Linked DNA regions of Drosophila melanogaster. The protein of the gene in region 2 binds, or shares a complex with, the protein of the main gene of each other region. Each region holds a gene or a part of one and is shown on either strand. Other genes may lie near its edges. A codon is read from its position in the direction of its gene.

The links.
Region 1: the proteins of Nedd4 (region 2) and comm are in contact, whole or in part, in an NMR structure (PDB 2EZ5), measured with the Drosophila melanogaster proteins. Residues at the interface, in NP_648993.1 of Drosophila melanogaster: Gln538, Ala540, Pro541, Asn542, Phe546, Ile548, Asp549, Arg553, Arg554, Thr555, Thr556, Trp557; in NP_001261891.1 of Drosophila melanogaster: Thr227 (codon at 7,320), Gly228 (codon at 7,323), Leu229 (codon at 7,326), Pro230 (codon at 7,329), Ser231 (codon at 7,332), Tyr232 (codon at 7,335), Ala235 (codon at 7,344), Leu236 (codon at 7,347).

The regions. Positions count from the first base shown.
Region 1 is NT_037436.4:15,722,370-15,730,420, reverse strand, and holds the start of comm (commissureless), read left to right. Parts: upstream 1-1,990; 5' UTR 1,991-2,216; coding exon 2,217-2,724; intron 2,725-7,149; coding exon 7,150-7,754; 3' UTR 7,755-8,051. UniProt on the Drosophila melanogaster protein: Controls axon guidance across the CNS midline by preventing the delivery of Robo to the growth cone.
Region 2 is NT_037436.4:17,528,369-17,533,134, reverse strand, and holds the start of Nedd4 (Nedd4), read right to left. Parts: upstream 3,055-4,766; 5' UTR 2,713-3,054; intron 2,327-2,712; 5' UTR 2,289-2,326; coding exon 2,100-2,288; intron 1-2,099. Other genes in the region: Edc3 (enhancer of decapping 3), read left to right, coding at 3,667-4,226, 4,515-4,766. UniProt on the Drosophila melanogaster protein: Essential E3 ubiquitin-protein ligase which accepts ubiquitin from an E2 ubiquitin-conjugating enzyme in the form of a thioester and then directly transfers the ubiquitin to targeted substrates.

The DNA.
Region 1 (8,051 bases), 1.8 Mb from region 2:
TGTTGGAAAATATCGTTCGGGGTTGGTTTTCCATCCGAGCAGATTGAATGCGACAAGTCAAGTGATGTGAATTTAATTTGCATTGCCATCAAAATTGGATTACAAACGAAGAAATGCGAACAAATGTTATTGAAAGCTCAAAGAGGAATTCCAACAAATCAAATTGTGTGATGACATTTTTTGTGGTATTCTACAAAGGTGGTATACAAGTGAATTATTTCGAGTGTTTGCGAGTATAGTTTGCATTTGTGAGTGGGCTAGCATAAGAAAATATTTGTGATGCCAAACTTAATTCCATTGTTTGCTAAAATTGTACAAAAGCATTTATTTCATGCTTTAAAAATATATAAAATTATTAAAATGATTATTCTTATTGTACAGCCTGATTTATATTAAGTCCCACTTATTTTGTTACCACTACGAATTTCGACTACACCAAAGACCAACAAGTTATTAAATATACCAAGGAAATGATTATTTTCTAGCTGCATTTAGGCCATCAAAGTTTCCCTGAACTACCCAACGTACTGAAGTATGCCCGCAAACACGCATTGATTAAAATCGCTGCAGTTAAAACTTATGCTCAAGTTCAAAATTAGTCGAAAGCTAATTAACGATAAGCTCGGCTTGCCAAAGTGCAGTGCAGAAGTTTTCGCCTGGGCTCGGAAAAGTTTTTAATGCATTTATCGAGTGACTTTGGTCTCTAGCTAAGTGCTTATTATCGGGCATCTATTTCAATTTCCCCCTGGCAATTACGAGGCAGTCGAAACTACACATTGTAGTTGTCGGGAAAAACTACGTATTTTCCAGCCGCCCAAGACCTCTGACATTTTGAAACACCCACAACACACCGTGTGACCTTTAACCCAGGGCAGTTCAAAGGCAACTGCCATCGACTGCTCATTTTTAGTTTGGTTTTGCGCCAGGGAAATGGGAAAATTCACTCACCAGAGAGAGCGAGAAAAACTGCAAAAGAGAGAGAGAGAGAGAGAGAGTGCGCAATCAAGTGGGAGAAAATTTCCCTTTTTGAGTCCAAGTCTCTCCGAGAAGAACCGGTTTTCGAGTGGGTTTTCGAATGACATTGGAGTGAGTTCGGGTGCAGTGCATTTGTTCCACTTTCTGAGCAGGATATTTTTGGCACGTTTTTGTGTCGTCGGAGCCTTTTGTGCATTGAGTTTTTGCCACACTGCCGGCTTATGGTCAGCATGAGCAGAAATGAAGCGTGCTGTGGGTCGAATCCCCTTCCTGATTTTTTGTTGTTTTGTACCCCATTTTAGCCTTTTTGGAAGCAACAGCAACTGCTGGCAGCAGGAAGCATTGCGGTATCCTGACGCTCGAGGGACTCATAATGGTCGAGATTTTGAGTTCTGGTTACAGTTTGGGCTCTGGGCTACTTTAAAGCCAGTGAAAACTGGGTTAGTTTAAGATGGCTAAAAGCTAGACGTCACATAATTTCCATAAATTCTTCATGGCCCAAACAAAACTTTTAGCTGGCCATAATTCTTCGTTTGATTTGGCGCAAACTTCGCGCTCAGGCTTATCAAATGCCTCAGAACCCCTTTTTGCCTTTCATTAAAATCAGCACAGACTGAAACTTTGCCACAAAGCAATTTGCTGGAAAAACACAAGACCGAAAAGCGTTGGAAAAACTTTAAACAACGAACGTGACCGAGGTGAAGTTTTCCCTTCTTAACAGCGTTTTTTTCTCTGGTTTTCGTACGGAAAATATAGTTTTTGGTCAAACTAGGTCAGCTGGAGAGCAAAAAATAAGGCAGGGAGAAGGCGAAAGGACGTCAAACATTTAAAAACATAAAAGACATGCCAGAAATTGCATGCTTCTTTAAGCAAGGACTTGACTTGATTTCTTGAGTGCCTCGCCCACGACTCACTCAAGAGCGAGTGAATCGAGAAAATGAGTGAGTGGAATGGCAAATTTCCCGCATGGCATGGCATTCTCAGCGACCCGATGTAGGTATTATGCTCTGCCAGCTAGCAGTCAGTCAACTTATAGCCGCTCCAGCGAACGGACGCACCGAAAATCGAGCTATAGAAACTCTACGGCAAATAAAAAACCCGAAATCGAACCCATGACTTATATATAGAGCCAAACGATTTGTTTACGTGTCGTGACGCGAGTGTGCCAGCAGTTGTGTGCGTGTGCCAGACGCAAGCAGAAAATAAAGTTTACAAATTAAAATAAATCAAAGGCAATCACCATGATTAGCACCACGGATTATCCAACAGTGGAGACCACCACAACTGCCGAAGAGCTCTATGCGGAGTACATATCCGCGCCGGCCAGCAGCATGAGTCCCGCTGCAATTGCCGAGCACCTGCAGCAGAATCAGATCACCTTCGAGATACCCAGTGCCCACGATCTGCGACACATCGACGCCCTCAACTCCTTCAACGCCCTGCTCCAGAGGATTGGCAACGCAGCGGTGTCCTACGATCCCGCTCCACCCAGCGGCTGGTCTCCGGATGGCAGCATCAGCACCGAGCAGCTCTCCAAGTCGGTGGTTCTGGATCTGGCCGACTTGCGGGATAGGTCCGAGGAATCGGGCGAATCCTCGTGGTGGAGCCAGATCTTCGGGGATGCCGACATGCATGTGATCATCAATTATCTGTGGATCGGAGTGGTCAGCTCGCTGGTCATTCTGTCGCTGGTCTTCATCCTCTTCAGCTGCTACTTCTACAGGAAGTTCCGCACTTGGAAAAAATGCAGTAAGTTTCAGTCGGACAGCCACCCAAATATAATCCCCACTCATTTTCCGCCCCCAAAATGCCATACATCTGGCTTTTATGTGCTCGACTTTAATCAAAATGTTTCGCCAAAGCCTTATCTCCGGCCATTTATTCAGCTGGCTAAACAATATAAAATGCAGAAACAGAAAGAGCAACCGAAACAGGTCCCACCACCACCCATCGGTTCCATCAGCTTGGGAGCTTTGCTCCATAGAGCTCCTATGGCCGCAAAGCCTCATAAATTTTTTGGCGCGCTTCGAAATTGTCAGCCAGCCGTTTGCATCGTTCTGTTGTAATTTTAGATACACAAGTTTATTATGCCACAAAATATATGTGCCGCATATTTATAATATTAAATTGACTCGCCTCGGAGGCATTGTGCCCCTTTTATGATAGCGATAATGTACGAGCTGGAGAATATGGACGACCTCGTCGACCCTTCTCCCTCGAAAAATTGGAATTGTTGCCCCGAAATTTGTTTTGCAGGCGAAAGGCGTGAAATTGTGCCTTGATATTTATATATTTTGTTTTGGGGGCCGAGGCGGTAAAGAGTAATATAATAAAATAATGATGGACCATATCACTCAGCTGCGTAGCTAAAGTCTGAGGAAATGTGGCCTTTGTAAGTGGGCGAGATTGTAAAATATTTATTTTGTTTGATATTAGTTTAGGACCTAGAAACATTAAAAATTGAATTTCATATTTTTCTGACATCTCTCACACTTTTAGTTCAGCTCTGGCAGTCCAGTATTAAATCCAAAATCAATCAAGTTTGACACAACTGTTATCAAAATCCCACCTAAATCCGACCCAGATTACCAACACTCAACCCAAATAGAGCCCATGTAAATATATATCTTATCTGCTCGAAACCTGTTGATCCCAATCCCAAAAATAAATCATATGTTTAGGCACTTTACACATAATTACGGAGCACCACAACAAAGAACCCAACTCATACTAAACCAAACAGAACTGAACAGAACCTAAATGGAATTGTATTGGAGGGGCTGGCTAAACAACCTACACAACTAACAAGACTCCGACTCAAGTGTCAAACTTTTTGCAGACCAATTTAGCCAAATGATTTATTTAGGCCGGGCAGCAAGTGAAGGACTACGGCCAGGAGCAAACTTTCGTCCTGTTCCTGGGACTGTGAGCACAACTTCTTGGGCCAAAGGGCCGTGGCCTTAAAGCCTGGCCAACTCAACTGTCAAACTGTCAATTTTGTGCTAACGAGCCTTAAAAACTTTGCCCTGCGATTACGACACGCGACCAAGAAGGGTGGATCCGGAAAGCTCCATTTATATATATATATATATATACGTGAAATATCAATTTGAGCGATATGTGTTGCCTGCTTTCGGCCGTCCAATGCGTCTAATTAGTTTCGTTAGTGTCGTGTTCTGTGCTTCTATTTTTTTTTTGTGTGCTCTTCCCTGGTCCTATGGCCCAGATAGATAGCAAGTGGTTGGTGGGATAGGTTGCCCGGGATACTGGGATACTGGGATACGAGAAGTACGTGTGTCATTTATAATTAAGCAACTAGGCCGGAGTTCACTTCGGCTTTTGTGCATTTAATGCCAGCTACGTGGCGTCTCGCAGTGTTTACCTTATAAATGCTTAACGAGGCCCAAACACAAGAGTGTCTGGCCCAGTTGCCATTCAGCCAGCCAGGCAGCCAGGCTTACACCTTATTTATTAAACTGTCACACACACTGGCGATGGCAAACTTTCGGTCCTTTGGCTTTGGCTTGTTATCAATTAGTGCAGCGGAGGACTACGACTGAATTTATTAACAGACCAGATGAAGTTACTAAATTAAAGCCAAAGCCAAGCCGAGGAGCAACAGCCACTGTTTATCATGTTGTATAGGTCCTGCATAATTTAGTTGCGTAAAAATGTAATTAAGCGTAGCATATTTGCCCAAGACCAGAAAAAGTTGCTCTTAGCCCGGCAGTCCTTTTAAATTTTTAATGGTTTTCGTAGCGAGCAGCGCAGAAAAACTAGAAGCTGCTCTCTTTTTCGGCCATGGAAAATATTTTAGTTGCTTTGGTAGTTTTTTACCCCCATTTTGGCAAACTCAAATTGAGTGCTGTAATTAACCAAATTGTTTTGTAGCCGACCAGCACTTAGTGGTATGGGAAAGGCATACATAATAGAGCTGGCAAAAGTTTTAATGGCTGAGACTGCATCTTTTGTGTGGGAAAAATGGAAACACTCGAAATCGAATACCCATTTCAATGGGCGGCTTAATAACAATTGAAAGCAGCTTAAATACAATGATCATAATTCTTAAATAAAAAACTCCACTCAGATCGAATAAAGCCAGAAAAGTTGGGGCGTTTAAAAAATTAACAGACATTTATGGCAACACAAAATAAAGCAGCTCACTGCTTTCCATTTGCCAGTTTCCATTCGAGAGTGCCAGCTTATTGCGATGAATTTAAATTGTTGCATACATTTGGGCGCATCGACAACAGAAATGGGGAAAAAAGACAGGATACAAATGCAAAAATAAAGAGAAAGAAGGCAAAGTGCCAATGCAGCTGAAAAACAAAAGGCATCAACGAATGGCGTTAATTTTTTTTTGCCAACCGCACAGAGAGCGAAATAAAAACTAAATTTTGTATCTAAATATTTGTTCCGTTAGTGATATTTTATTTTCCTCAAAATAACATCACTAACTGGTTTGCATAATAGAAAGTGAATAAAAAAAAGACATTTGATATCACCATAGGACTTCTAGTTAGTAATATAAATTTTCTGCGTGCATCGGCCACCTTTTTCCCGATTTTCCGACTTTCTTTGCGTCCATCTGCAATGCTTGAAGCGGCTGAGTTGGTGGATGGGGAGGGGGGGGTACACCTTTTTCAGGGGCGGCTGTTTGTTCAACACTTGCATAAAATATGAAGCCTGCAGTCTGTGTATGAGTGGGCCACGCCCCCTTAGTCCAGGGCCCCGTTTGCCGGCTGTCTATCAAACAGAGAGCAAGGAAAAAAGCACGGAAACAAAAGTCGAAAAAGGGAAAACAAAGAGACAGAGTCCTCATGTAGGGTGTTCTGGCCGAAAAAAAGGATTTATATATGTGTGTGTGTGTGTTACAGTTATAACAATAAATCAACAACTGCTGGCAGCCACTGTAACTGCTGACTGGTTCTGCTACCGCTGCGTTTTAATATTGTAATGCGCAAATTTTTCAACAGGCTTTACCCCATGCCACAAAAACCGAAATACCGACCACCTTTCCTTCCTGCGAGATGCGCTTTAATTGAAAAAGCGTTTTCGGGAACAGAGAATTTATGAAAAATACAGCCTGAACAATTAAAAAATTGCCGAGTTTTTCCACAGCGAGGCGGCAACCAAATTAAATGACACAAAAAATGGACAGAGGCGATCCCCTATTTATTTATTGAATGCAGTTTAAATTGCATTTAATAATACTGAATACCTGCCACTTTTTGCAATGCCACATATGCTGGGCCGAAATTCTATTTGAGGCAAATTATTGCTTCATGCATTTTTAATCTGCTGTAACTCAAAATACAACCAAATTAAATTCTTTGATGGCCTCGGCTTAGAGCGCGTGTGCATGGAAATTGGAATTTTCCAATCTTAATTTAACTCTGCTTAATTTGAAACATGCACACACACACACACTCAAGCACACACACATGGACAGCAGCTGCGGCATTATAAAAATTAAATGCTTTCTGCTGCCTACTTTCCGGGGCTGTCGAGCTTTTATTTCATTGCAGTTGGCAGTTGGCGAACGTGTATGTGTGAGCCTGTGTGTCTGTGTGTATGCGAGAGAGTATTTTATTTCATTCCATTCTGCCACGCGCGCACTTCCGGCATATTATTGCCTAGTTGCTGTTGTTGCTTGGGTGGCAGTCAGTCCGCTGTGAAGGAACTTCGCCTGTCCTGCCATCCTCGCCGGCATTTCCGGTCAGCACAAAACTTTCCGCTTCCCCTTTTTTGCCATTTTTTTCGCCTTTTTTTTTGCCTCTGCATTCGGGAAAGTTCAAGCGTTTGCGCCTTTACGCTAAATTGAATTTAATGCCACGGGCCCGTCCTTCTACAAATGTCCTTTGACATGGACAAACAAAGTAATGACAGAGTCAAAACTTTGATGCCTGATTGGGAAGCACCCATTCCGCTATTCCTACACAGCAAGAAATGAAAAAAAATAGTATCATGAAATAAATTTTAAACAAAAACGAATTTTAATTTTAACTATTAGTTACGTGGAATATTGTTATATCTCAATGTTTAAAGAATCTTAATTTGTGCTTTCTGCATTGCTTGCCCCAAAAAGTCCCTTTTTTTTCTCTGTCCATCTAAACAATAGAAACTTTCTGGTGACAAACTCAACTAACAAACTCCGTCTTCTGTTTATTGCAGATAAGGACATACGTGCCCAGATCCATGCGGCCAGTGACTCGTACTCCTCGCACCTGGTTGGTTGCGATGCCAGCAGACTGCTGTTGCACCAGCAGATGCAGCATCCACATCATCGGAGCAGCGAGGCTGGGTTCTACCAAATCGAATCGCCGCCCTGCTACACAATCGCCACCGGATTGCCCAGCTACGATGAGGCACTGCATCATCAGCCTCGGCACTTTGCCTACGGCATGAAGTTCGTTTATCCCTCGTTGGCGGCCGTGCATCATCATCACCATTGCATTTCCAATTGGGAGAAGCAGGAGCCGCTGAATAAGCTGCAAAAGTGCAAGCTGTCAGCGGCAGCGGCAGTGGAGGAGGATAAAGCCGACTCCTCATCGTCCACGTCTGCATCCGCGTCGCCATCCTCTTCGGAATCCAGCAACTTGGCCACAGCAACGCCTGCCATTTGCATTAACATGCCAAGTGGGCGGCAGGATGAGGAGGTGGATAATTCAGATTCCGATTCCGCAATTGCAGTTGCAGTGGCAGTAGCACAAAGTTTACAGCCGGCGGCGCCTGCCGACGATGATTGCGCCTCATTGGTCGTTGTTGTTGCCGCGTGATTGCCCACCCAGGGGTCAGAGGTCAGGGAATAAGGGGTCAGTCGAGGGTTTAGGGCCGGGAGTAGCAGCCCAATTGCTTAGTCACTTGTAAATAGTTGCATCGTCTGCTAATGTTGTTTGCCCCATGTAATAACATATATCTCCGAGAATGTACCCTCTCCCTCCCTCTAAGAAAATTTAGTTTTGGTTTTTAGTTATCTGTTATATATTATTGTATTACGCAAGACTGAGTATTATTTATTGTACTATGTATAAAACCGAATTGTCTATCGATTAAGCCCTAATATCTAAGCGAGA
Region 2 (4,766 bases):
GCTTAGCCCTGTACTCTTTTTGTCTTCCTCTCGCGTTTTCTCACTCCCACTGTTGACAGCTGCCATCGAACAAGTGTCTTTAAGCAAAACAAAACAAAAACAGCTGATCGGCTGCGCCGTGCGTTGATGTGAGTGGACTATCTATGTGTGCGTGCGTATCTGTGTGAAATTTGTATTTTGGGCTGGGAATCCCTCCAATTCCATTAATAATGTTCAGCTAAATAGCGTATAATCACTTATAATAGACATGAGAATGTTCTGACTGCTGACGCAATGGATTCAATGGATGTAATTGACCAGCTGTTGACTGATAAGCGGCCCATTAAGGCTATCCGCTAAGGCAATTGTGACGTCGACTGTTCTTACAAGTGCGTCGATTGGCCGACGTCACCGCTTGCCGGCTGACGTGCAAATTGGATTAAATAACCCAAATAACAGAGCTCAATTAGCGGGGGCATACAACTTTTGCGGCAAAAAAAGCACTAATGAAGATAAGCCATTCATTCATACACCTCCCACTTTTTGGACAGGAATTTCGAGCCATTCTGACAACGCTTCAATGAGTTCGACAAACAGAATTGAAGTGCCGTCAAATAATCGCTCATTGAGTGAAAGCAAACAGAGCAAACAACCAACACTGGGATACTAAAAAAGAAAGTAAAAGAAACACAAAACAAAATGTCAGTTCATAATACGTTTAGAAACTATGAATAATATAATTCTGCGAGTTCTGTTAGAAATTAAAATACTTTTATAAACCATTAAACATAGCCTAGGTATTAAAAGTTAAAACAATATTTTTCTCTCTGTGCAGCCAGAAAACCATAAAGTGTAGACACACAACATTCAAGAGGCGGCGGCCAAGAATTGTGTTGATAAATTAAATTAGCTTCGAAGATGCCGATGACTGCTCAAGTGGCTAGCATCTTTGGCAAATTAAGATAAATAAATTAGTTTAGTTTCCGTTCGGCCTGAGATGGCGAGCGAATTATTTGTTTATACAAGTGAGCAAAACAATAGAAAAGCCCATTCCAGACACTAAGTAAACAACGATGATGCCAGTTTATTTTCTGGCGGCTTCCTAATACTTTTCTTGGCACTTTTCTGCTCTTCGGAAAGTGCAAGTCAAGAAATGTTATTCGATTTTAAAAAATCCGCAAAAAAGCTACTTTTTCTTTAACATTATAAAGTAATTGGTACAAGCAAACAATGACTAAACGATAAAATGTAATGTGCTGTATTAAAGGCCCTCCTAAAAAAAGACTTATGGAAGTCACTCCTGAAATACAACTACATCTAACTTAATGGTTGACGAAATGCAACGACCTTTACACCGTAAAAGCTAGGTATTGGATAAGAACAGTTCGTAAGTTTTTCGTGCTTTTCGGCTTCTGAAGGAATTGTAGATCCCCTACTTTTCCCACCATACATATATCCCACTTTATCATCCATGAGGGGAGTGAAATCTACATGGCCCATCTACACGACTCAGCTGTTTGGCAATCTGCAGATTAGATTAGTAGTGAAAACATCGTAAAAATGGAAACACTAAATACAGCGGAGGCACTGATAAGGGCGACCAAATCCCCCAGCACCACCCGTTGATAAATACTTTTCAAATCTTCACACCAACAAAATGGTGGATACATTGTGGGCAATTCCTTATAAAAGGTTATAGGAATTGGTTGGCTTAGTTTTGATAAGACAACATTTCGGTATGCCCTTTAAAATGAGATACATTTATTGATTAGTCAGTTTGCAACGAAACCAAAACAATTGATAAGAGTATCTTATAAGATGTCATAGTAAGTAATACCTTACTATCTATTAAAAATTGATAAACATATAGGTGCCACGGTCACTATTTGGTGTTATGATAACTTAATTTGATACATACGCGTTTATATAACCCATAATTAGTTAACTGGCTTTATCAAAAATGGAATGAAATTTTTCAATCAGAGTTGGATGCGTTGTGAAATAAGGTTGTAACCATAAGGTGCTCCTACAAAATTCCTAAGATGTTAGAAGAGTTCCTAAGTTGTCCTTCAAGGTAAAGCTCTCTCTTTTCGTCGTCACCTGCACTTATGTAAACTTACCACTGCTGCCAACGATCTGCGAGGAGTGTAACCATTTCCAAATTCCTGGCGCGTTTGCTGTTGTCCCGCAACAGAGGCCGCTCGCCGGCGGGGCGGCGGGCGTGGCACGTCGCCGCCGGCCACCGAGGAAGAAGACGACGGGACGGGAAGGGCCGCCGCGGCCACCAAGCCGCTGGAACGTGCCGACATTGTTGTGTTGTTGTTGTTTGTTTCTTTTAGAGAAGCTTCTGCAATGAAAGAATGACGGAAGGAGAGAGGGTGAATATGTGCAAAGCGGAAGTGCAAATTAAGCGATAAATGACACGAAGAAGAAGAAGAGGAGGCTGCCATAAGGTAACAAGAGGGGGAAGGGTGTACAGAAGCGAAGGAAAGAAAAGCGAACAGACAACAAAGACAGCAAACAAAGTGAACAACGGTACTTGTGCTAGATGCCATCTCTGTCTGCCGCCCTGCCCCCGTGCAAGCGTGTTTCTAGTGTGTGTGTTGTGTGAATGAGGTGTGGGTGATAGAGCACAAAAGCCAAACATTTTCTTGATAATTAGCCAGGCGCGAAGCCATGTCTTTGTAGACCATTTATGGTTAGCATAAAGTTTCGCCCAAGTTTTCCACTTACGTTTACACACGCACAAACACGGGCCACTATATTTTCGCCCGATTTATGTATATATTTTGCGGTGGTATGCGTGTGGGCTCGCCTTTATCCACTATTTGCGGAAAATCATCACGTACTTCTATCACACGGCAAATTCTACACTGCTCACTATTCAAGCGATTATCACTTTGACCGCTTCGGCGGCGCACATGCCTTAATCGCCGATATCGGTCGGCTATAGGTGCCTGTATATATGTCGCACGCGCAGTATTAAATAAAATTTAAACACCGGACGGGAAAAATGCACAAAACGGCGACAAAATCGAGAACAAAACTGCCAGAGTGACCGTGTACGCGCACTGAGAACATACCACAGCACCCAGAAGCCTTAACAGTTAAGGGAAGCACTTGTTAAATTCATAAAATGGCTCGCAGGCTTTTATTGAACCAAATATTTATCAAAATAAGGTGAAGTTTCCGTAAAGCATGAAATTTGTAGTTATTATAAATATGTATATTATTATAAATTTATTAAGTAAACTAATTTGCCACGCAGCTAGTTTGGGTATTGTTCGGTATTATCTGAACACCAACGAACGGCCACACGCAAGCAGTGAAAATCCCAATGAAACGAGAAATCCAATAAGTTTTAGCGTCAATGTGTTGCAACGGTTGGTGCATTTATTGATTAAAAGAGACAAAATACCGAACCCCTTGACCGCAGAGCCAAATAATTCAAAAACACCCGACTTTAAGCCACAAAACACTAGAATCAACGGCGGTGCAGCAGCAGGAAGAAGAGGAAGAGAGGTGCGTGGTGCGTAGTTAGTTAGTGGCGAAATTGCGTATTAGAAACGAAAACAACAAGCAGCTCTGCGCGGGCCAGCAAACATTTCGAACAACCATTAGCCAGGGCAGAACAAGCCGATCCAACGTGTTGTCGCATTCGCAAAGGGAGTATCGAAAACTGATTACATGGGTCCGACGGATCAAGACTGGATCGGCTGTGCAGTGTCTATAGCCTGCGACGAGGTCCTGGGCGTCTTCCAGGGCCTGATCAAGCAGATTTCTGCCGAGGAGATCACCATTGTGAGGGCTTTCCGCAATGGCGTGCCGCTGCGAAAGCAGAACGCCGAGGTGGTCCTCAAGTGCACGGACATTCGCAGCATCGATCTCATCGAGCCCGCAAAGCAAGATCTGGATGGGCACACGGCGCCGCCGCCAGTGGTCAACAAGCCCACGCCCGTCAAGCTGCCCCACTTCTCCAACATCCTGGGCAAGCAGCAGCAGCTCCAACTCCAGCAGCAGCAGCAGCAGCTACAACTCCAGCAGCAACAGAAACAGCAGTTCCAGGAGCAGGAACGAGAACAGGATCTGCCATCGACGCCGCGGTCAAGGGCCAACGACAATGGACGGGTAGCGGCTGGCGGAGCATCGAGTTCTTCGGGCCCACGTGGCAACTTCAATTCGGCGCTAAGCGATAAGATGCATCAGCTGAAGCTAATCGAGACCAACGGCTCAAATGGCACCCTTAGGTAATATGGCCCATTAAACGATTGTGCAATGCCAATAATTTAAATTAATTGTTAGCTCTTTATAAAAAAAAAAAGTATGAAGATTTTTGCAGTCAGCACGATTGTGTTTATTTCATTTCATTTTGAAGCCATCTTTATGTTTAAACTTACCAACCTTGAGATACGAAATGAGTAAATTACCTTTATTACTGATAAAAAGCAACAGTCGTTTCAGATAGGTCTTGTGCCAACTGAGCGTCGTATTTAAAATAGGTTTCATCTAACTTTTATATTTGTTTCGTCATCCAGAACACCACAAACATCCCGTGCGTCCAGCGCTCAGCAGCAGCCGCAGATATCAACGACTCCCAACAGCGTGGCCGCCTTTTTTGGCAACATGATACCGCCGAAGGTCGAGGTGAAACTGGGCTCCTACGTGAGCAACACCCGGGAGAGTTACTGCAGCAGCAGCGGAGATAGCGGCGAGGCAACTGGTTTGTCGTTGGGCAGCAGCAAACCCATAGATATCGTCAGCAACGGAGATGGATTTTACAAGCAGAC